2 linked regions of the Nothobranchius furzeri genome follow. The protein of the gene in region 1 purifies or fractionates together with the protein of each later gene. This does not show direct contact. Links are inferred from orthologs where the notes say so. Each region holds a gene or a part of one and is shown in the gene's direction. Other genes may lie near its edges. The genes, in order: chek1 and hax1.

Region 1 (4,287 bases):
ACCCGTAAAGACAGTGGAAGGGTTATATCACCATTTATAATCATTTCTCCTGCGTCATCCTAGTATTAGAAATATAGTAATAAATAGATTTTTATAAACTACATTTTTGCCTCTGTGTCAAATTATTATAAGGTTTTGGTTCCCTGGCATATCCAAAGTACCTAGTTTCATCATCAATCAAATATTAAAGGTTCAATAACATTGCTAATCCATATTTTTATTGAATACTTTTATATTTAGTTGAAATTTTATTAAAAGTAACCACTTCATAACATTCCACCTCTCAATGTCACTAACACACCCTCAAACACTTGAGCTTTGTTGACATGTTGAGTTATTTATTGATGAAACACTAGAAAGAACCAAACTGGAATCTCGATTGTTTTTCTTCTCATTCTACATGAGCTAAGCAGGTAATTACGTAAATTTTCTTCTTGATCACCTGGAAGATTAATCTCATATGTATAATAAGAGGTTAGTCACTGAAAGAAAAAGTATATCCTTTACTGATATTGTCTCAGTTTGGTGCTTGGATGTTTTCAACCGCGCATCATATCATCTTTGTGTCTCTTGTGGCTGATCTACATTTAACACAGATGTATGATGTTGAGGTTTCCAACTCTGAGATGCTTTCTCTCACTCTCTCTACTGGACACGCCTGGTAACAGCTCATCCGTCTGATACATATTTTACACACTTAGATTTTTAGATAATAGCTGTCAAAAACAACACATTTCATTTCATGGACTGAACACATTTTTGAGCCCTTTTCCCAAAAAAATTATCCACTCACAAAGGATCGGTCTAGATCTCTATTCCTCCAGGATTTAGCAAAGAATTTTTCTGTTCAGTTTCTCAAACAGAAGGTTGGAAAATCACACTCCATCCATTTACTGTCAGTGTTTGGTTTTAGGAATTATGTTCCTAAAACAAGCTGTTTCAAAAAGTCCCTGTTTGTGATGTCACAAACAATAAATAAACAAATGGTGCAAAGTTGCGCCATATCACACTTTTGAAATTCATACGACAATTCATGGACAATGTGCACAACAGAATGGGTATTATAGCGGCATATTTTATTCTACATGGCAGATAAAAACGTCCTACAATGCAAGTGTGGTCTGTAAAATGTATATCTGCATGTCCTGTGCTGAGTATGCTTTGACCTACAGTCCTTTGTGTGCAGGCAGCAGCGGCTTTCATTCATTAATCTTTGAACAGCTCAGGGAGAACCAGGTGGATGATTGGGTGCTGTGTACTATTTCACCAGAGGGGGGCGGAAGTGTGCGCTTGCTGTAGGTTTCCTGCAAAAGCGTAGAAGAAAAAGAGGAAATGACGCAATGTCTCCGGTAAAACAACAAGGCGCCAAATTTGTGCCCCTTTATCACAGATGCACATCCATGGCGGAGTTAGAATAAATGTGTTTTGTGACTCGTCACATGTGGGAAACGCAGCTCAGGGAAAAGGCGGTGGAGGTAAGACAGTCACATGAATCATCGCTGAACAGATATGGAGGCATCGTGACATTAGCGCTGCTTCACATCCTGCAAACGTTAAAGTTTGGCGCTGTTTGTCTTTAATGATGAGTTTTTTTTATACACGTTACATACGTGTTGTGTGTTTTGTGTTTACTGAAGCATCATGGCGGTGCCTTTTGTCCAGGACTGGGACCTCGTTCAGACTCTGGGAGAAGGAGCATATGGAGAGTAAGAACATCATATATATAGTTCAGTAGCTGCTGGGCTAAATGCTGCACCAAACCTTAATGCAGGTTAAAGTCGAGCTGCGTTTTTCTTTACTCAAGCTACTTTTGTTTAATAATTAAGTTCTGGTTAAATGCACGTTGTAATTCACACCATCCAATCCAATTTTATTTATAAAGCGCATTCACAAGGCATTACAACCAAACAAGGCGCTGTACACTAAAAATGTTGGTTAATTAAACAGGCGTTATATAAACATGTCGAACACAGATAAAAGATAAAAAGGAAATACAACAAAATTCCCAAAAATAACAGCTAAAAATCATTAAGACACAGGGTGAAGTAAAAATAGGAAAAAAAAAAAACATCACCTTTATCAGATGTGCACCGGTTGTGATTTTGTAGGCCGATATCTGCGGCATTTACTGATCTTAAAGAAAAGGGCTGATGGTGAGTTCATGGACCAGTCATTTCTATTGCGTTCACTCATCCGAAAAGTAGAGTTTTGGGTTGGTCAATCACCAGTTTAGCTAATCAGGCTGACATTTGTCCGGTTCCGGTGCGTTTCTAGTTTTTGTTTTACTCCAAAAGTCTGTTCTATTTTCTTTCTTATAGAAATTCTGATTTATTTCTCTTTTTGTTCTGAACCATGCTCTTTCAGAGTGAGGCTGCTGGTGAACAGACACACTGAAGAGGCAGTGGCAGTGAAAGTCGTCGATACCTCTCAGTCTAAAGAGTGTGCAGACAACGTGAAAAAGGAGGTCTGCGTCCATAAGGTACCTGTCTTACTGAGCTGCAGAAAACACATTTACCTTCTTCTGAGGATTTTTAAGTCAAACACTTCTGTTCTGATTTTAGAAATAAACAAAGTGTGCTGGTTCAACGTTTGAAATCAGTGATAGGGCCGCACAATATATCGTAAATATATCGTTATCGCGATATCAGCATGTGCAATATGCATATCGCAAAGAACAGATAAATATTGCAATGAATGGTCAGCTCAAATGTTTCGTCTTCATCTTCCTCCGCTTATTCGGGTCCGGGTCAAATGTTTGCTACACATAATGCGTTCTGTCAATCAAACGGAAGTGTGATGTTTTTTTAACAAATAAAACAGCTTTTCACCCATTTGGCCAATTGGATGGGTTCTCATAGGTTAGATGCCCGCCCCCGAGGCGGACGGCACTTAATTTTGATGGTTAGCAAACACCTTAAGTTAGCTTTTTTCTGCTCTTTTTGCTGATTCTGCTTTTCCCGGGTTCCACTGATTGTCTTTTCTTCACATCTTTTGCTTTTGTCATTTTGAAGAAATTTTTTGTCATTTTTAAAATTTATTTATATATATATTTTTTTTTATTATTTTAGTTCCTGAGTTAAGTTATTATTTATTGCAAGTAATATCATCATCGCAATATTAATCACTATCGGACATTGCATGTTTTCCTAATATCGTGCAGCCCTAATCAGTGATTAAAAATACAACCTTGTTCTTTGTCAGATGCTCAACCATCCCAACATTGTGAAGTTTTTTGGGCATCGGAAAGAAGGAGCGACTGTTTATCTGTTTCTGGAGTACTGCACCGGAGGAGAGCTGTTTGACCGGATCGGTAAAACACTGCGGGCTCTCTGATAAAACTGTATTTTTGCAGCAGACTGTTGGTGTCTGTGAAGTGCAGATCAGTTTATTATCTTAACTAGTTCCTGCCTAACTCGAGTTCTTGTCTTTCTGGTGTTTTAGAGCCTGATGTGGGAATGCCAGAGAGGGATGCTCACAGGTTTTTCCAGCAGCTAATGTCAGCTGTGGTGGGTGAATGTTTGTGTTGTTTGCCTGATTCGGGCTCTTTTTTTATTCTTTTATTTGCTTCTTCTCAGGAGTACCTCCACAGCCTTGGCATCACCCACAGAGACATAAAGCCCGAAAACATTTTGCTGGATGACAAAGGTGGGCAAATAGAGTGCCACAGTTTTTTTTTAATGATTTCTCATAACCATGCATCATTTTTTTTTATCTTCTAACCTTTAGACAACTTAAAGCTGACTGATTTTGGCCTAGCCACCATGTTTCGGTTCAAAGGACGTGAGCGCCAGCTGAACCGACTCTGTGGGACTCTTCCCTACGTTGCTCCAGAACTTCTCAGCCAATCAGAGTATAGTGCTCAGCCTGCAGACATCTGGGCTTGTGGCATCGTCCTGACGGCCATGCTAGCTGGAGGTGAGATCCCACACGGTCCAGGCACCCGCTGTCTTTCAGGGGGTTTTAGTGTAACAGACTAATCATCCCGATCAATGCTCTATACTTTCATAATTTGAATTAATAACTTAAAGGCGACATATTATGCAAAATCGAACTTTTGTGCTACCATGTGGGTCTCGACTGGCTCTGTAAACTCTCCAAACATGGAAAAAAAATCCATCCATCTGTTTTCTGTTCGTGTGGTTTTTAGGTTTTATGTGCCTAAAACAAGCCGTTTCAGAAAGTCCCTGTTTGTGATGTCACAAATGGGGAAAGTAGAAGTAAACTGTCTCTCACGTGCTAAAGAGCTGCTACCAGGGGTGCAGGGCTCTACTCCGAGCATCTTCTGGC
Region 2 (3,923 bases), on another chromosome or scaffold:
CGTCTCTTAAATGTCGACGGAAACGTCCGACATAAAAGACCCCTGACATATTTACTTTCAAATGTTTTTTTTTTTTTTCAACTTTTTTTGTCGTTTTAAGTTTGAAGAAACGTTTCTCTGAATTGGAAGAGTTGTGAAGTTTATTTTTTACCAGATATAGATATATTATATATAAAGACATTAAACAAAGCTCAGTGGCTCAGACTGTGAGGAGTGTGTTGGTCATGTGACTGCGTGCATGTTTGTTTCTGGGTTTTTGTTATCCAACAGTTGTACAGTTACTGTCCCCCTGAATCAGAAACAACTTTGCTTATGGCTGGTCTTATTTTGAAAGAATGATTTAAAGGGTCACAGACACAATCTGCGCCCCCCCCACCCCCCCCCCACCCCGCTTCACCTCCTTGACCCCCAACATTGTAAGGAAACCTGCAGCGTTGAACACTGATGGACAGAATTGTACTCTTTTTGTCAGTGGTTTATTATTTTCCTTTTTGTACTGTGCGTTTTAAAAGATTTAAATGGATAAAATTGTCTTGTACATATATAAAAACACAAGTACTGTAGTCCCTGTCCGTCAATGGCTTTCTTCTTTTTTTCCTTTTCAAATTCTTGCAGACTTGTTAGCTTTTTTGTTTCATTTTTTTATTTTGTAAAAATATATAAATATTAAGTAAATAAACAAAGACGTTTTCATCATTTTGGATGTTAATGTCTTTTAATAAACAATTTCTTGTGGCTTGTGGATGTAGCAGCATTTCTTCGTTTAGCACAGATTAGCTTTATTTATAAATGCTGTTGGGTGATTTTTGTGGAGTTGTGGTTTATATATTAGTTTATTTACAGGATGCCAACAGATAAACCCATATAATTTTGATGTGTTATTTTGTGTTCCCTCTTTTCAGGATAACTACGGCCGTCTAGTTGTCAGTTAACATTAGTTCAGTTGTTTTTGTTTTACTACATGTATACTACACCAAAATAAATAAAACAGAATTTTAAAGGGAACTGAAATGATTTACATTTAAACTTTTTACAATGCAATTTTTGTCAAAAAAGAGCTAGATGGACAAAAGTGGTAGAAAATATCAACGTTACCGTAATTAGTGTAATAAAGCCGTTCGATTTAGTTTATCTAAAAGATTTGTTTTCTTTCATACATTTAATTGCAATATTTTAGTCTGTACTAGAACGATTAAAAAGATTAGTTCTCGTTCATCCCAAATACAAATGGTATGAGGTGATTAGTGAGCCAACGTACTCTTTCTGGGCTTTGATTTTATGATTTACGGTAAAGCAACTTTACGGCAGTTTTGCGGCAGGTTGCGTCATTTGGAAGGATCCAGAACGCTTTGCGACTGTTGACATTACTGGCTGTTTTTCGCAGCACCTGTGAACCGTGGATGTTATGAATTAGCTTTCTGTCAGTAAATGAGTGTTTTTGATTTGTTTCGCGGGTTCTTCGGTGTTCCGGGAAGACATTATGGAGGCCGAAGGTGAGTCAAAGTTAGTAACGTAGCAAAATATATATTTCTCTGTGCTGTTAGGTAACGAAGTAGCTCCGTCGTGAGGTAAGACAGCTTTTTCCTTCCAGGAAAACCACAGGGGTCGCTCAGCTAGCATGGCCGTTAAGCTGAGCTCAAACGGACTAATACGATTGCGTCCGTCAGGATTAATTTAAGACAATTCATTTGTTTTATCAGGGACCCATTTTTTGATGCCATGACTCGTGATGACGACGAGGACGAAGAGGACGAGGATGGGGTCTGGGACGATGGGTTGAGGGGGGACCAGCAGGACCCTTTTGGCGGAGCCTGGAGGTTCGGCTTCAGCTTTGGTCCGGACGGGATGAGGTTCCAGGAGCCTCCGGTGTTCGGACACGTGCTCAGAGAAATGGAGGAGATCTTCTCCCAGCTGGGCCACTGGGAAGAGGACACGTCTGGGCATATGGGTAAGAAAGTTAGCGCGTGACCCACCCCCACTCCCATTGATAATTTTTATATTGAGTTGCACAAAAAGTACTATTTTTAATCAAGTTTTCTTTCTTTTTCTTTTATTTTTAGTTGTTCCCAGAATCCTGCCTCCATCACCACCTCAGGACAGATCACAGAGAGGTGGGGGAAGTGGGAATCCTGTGAGAGACTTTATGCTGAAATCACCTGGCAGTGACTCACAAGGGCCAACCCGAGAGGGCCCCAGTGGCAATCAGCCCTCCTATGAGCCTCCAGAATTCCCTCGCTCACCTTTCCATGGCTTTAGACCTTTCTCCAAAGTACACGAAACTGATTAATCCTCTTGTTTTTTCTGCTTGAACCTTGTTCTGATCCAATTCGCGTGTGTGTGTCTCTTAACAGTTTAATGATATTTGGAGACAGGGACTTCCGAAAACTCCAGAAGATGACATCAAAGAAGACAGAGGCGAGTTACAGTTTTAAGTTGTTACATTATTTATGGATTTAAGTTTCCTTGTTGATTTTCTTTTGAATCCCATCCAGATCTGGACTCTGCTGTGTCATCTGGTGGCCTGGATCAGATTCTGACTCCACCTGCCGGTCAGACGCCGAGCCAGCCCAGAACCCGGTCGTTCTTCCAGTCGGTCACCGTCACCAAGGTGGTGAAACCTGATGGGGTGTGTGTGCTTCGGCGGTCTTTACCTGCAACATTGAAGTGTTTTTATAGATAAATGATAAATTAAGAGTAAAATTCTCTTACAATAAATATCAAATAATGAACAAGAGTGCAAATCCACAATATTTTTAAGGTTAAAGTTGAATTAATTAAACTCACTAAATGTTTTTATTAGACCGTAGAGGAGAGGCGGACAATCCGAGACGGACACGGCCAGGAGAAGACCACAGTGACTCGCTCAGGAGGTCCTGACCCTCAGATTGGACTCGTTCCTCCAGGTCAGTTTATTTCTAGTCTGGGATTTAAATCTAAACATTGTCTCCCTGTTCCTAATCCCTGTGTTTGTGTTTGTCCCAGGTGGCCCACAGCCCTTCTCAGACTTACGGGATGACAACTCGTTATTCTCCAAGTTCTTTGGTGGATTTAAATAAAATGTTCCCCGGACTCGTTTAATGTGATGGATAAAATGCTGAAATGGAAACTTTACTAATCAGTTTGGTTGAATATTTTATTTTTGTACCGTCTCACAGAAAAGCTAATATGGATGTAGTTATGAGAGGGATCCAATAAAGATTTAATATATTTACACAGCTGCCTTGTTCTTGCAGTTCCTCTGGCACGTGGTGTGTCTTTTTTTCTTTTTTCACACTCCATCCCAAAAGCATCCACTCTGATCTGGGAGTCTGAATTCCCTGCAGGGATAAATCCATGTATTATATAAAGATCTGGAGTGAATGAAACTATTTTAATTTAGATTTAAGAACTTTTATGTCCATTTCCAGTCAGAGAAGAAGAAATCCATGTTAACACCCCCCAATCAGAGTTAATTCCACTCAGCTGATCATTTGTGGCTCAGGATGTCCCGCAGAGTAAAAGTCCTCAGCCTTGCAATAAACCGTGACGTTGCCAGAGACTCCAGGCCTGAAAGATCAAACTCTGCTCTGAGACGGATAAGCTGCGGAGCGGAACGGAGCAGGTCAGAACCCACCTGAGAGAACCCACCTGAGACCAAACGCTGCAGAGGGGAAAACCAGGATGGAGAGGCTGCTGAGGAAGTGTCGGATCAAAAACATGCTGGTCAGGGAGTGCATGGCGGAGTGTCTCGGGGTCTACGTCCTGATTGTAAGTTCTGGTTCTAACAAAGTTCACCAGGATTCATTAAAAACCGTGTGCTTTTGTTTTGGGTCAGTTAATAAAAGTTGTAGCTAACTGCAGAACTTTGGCCTGATTTTAAAAGACCCTAATGATCACCTGCTAGAGCAACAACCATTTAACAGCACAGACCATAAAGCGGGTTA

What was found.
Region 2: the proteins of chek1 (region 1) and hax1 purify together in Homo sapiens (affinity purification with mass spectrometry; 3 studies listed by BioGRID and IntAct, with this or other methods). This does not show direct contact. The link is inferred for Nothobranchius furzeri from reciprocal best matches to the Homo sapiens genes CHEK1 and HAX1.

What each region holds. Positions count from the first base shown.
Region 1 is NC_091750.1:44,931,815-44,936,101, reverse strand, and holds the start of chek1 (serine/threonine-protein kinase Chk1), read left to right. Parts: upstream 1-1,321; 5' UTR 1,322-1,418; coding exon 1,419-1,475; intron 1,476-1,637; exon of another isoform or gene 1,638-1,641; coding exon of another isoform or gene 1,642-1,662; coding exon 1,663-1,706; intron 1,707-2,364; coding exon 2,365-2,479; intron 2,480-3,201; coding exon 3,202-3,310; intron 3,311-3,441; coding exon 3,442-3,506; intron 3,507-3,575; coding exon 3,576-3,645; intron 3,646-3,726; coding exon 3,727-3,915; intron 3,916-4,287. UniProt on the Homo sapiens protein: Serine/threonine-protein kinase which is required for checkpoint-mediated cell cycle arrest and activation of DNA repair in response to the presence of DNA damage or unreplicated DNA.
Region 2 is NC_091759.1:4,224,644-4,228,566, forward strand, and holds hax1 (HCLS1-associated protein X-1), read left to right. Parts: upstream 1-1,314; 5' UTR 1,315-1,428; coding exon 1,429-1,493; intron 1,494-1,700; coding exon 1,701-1,948; intron 1,949-2,060; coding exon 2,061-2,269; intron 2,270-2,351; coding exon 2,352-2,415; intron 2,416-2,492; coding exon 2,493-2,626; intron 2,627-2,800; coding exon 2,801-2,903; intron 2,904-2,982; coding exon 2,983-3,056; 3' UTR 3,057-3,211; downstream 3,212-3,923. Other genes in the region: aqp10b (aquaporin-10b), read left to right, coding at 3,661-3,747. UniProt on the Homo sapiens protein: Recruits the Arp2/3 complex to the cell cortex and regulates reorganization of the cortical actin cytoskeleton via its interaction with KCNC3 and the Arp2/3 complex. Slows down the rate of inactivation of KCNC3 channels. Promotes GNA13-mediated cell migration.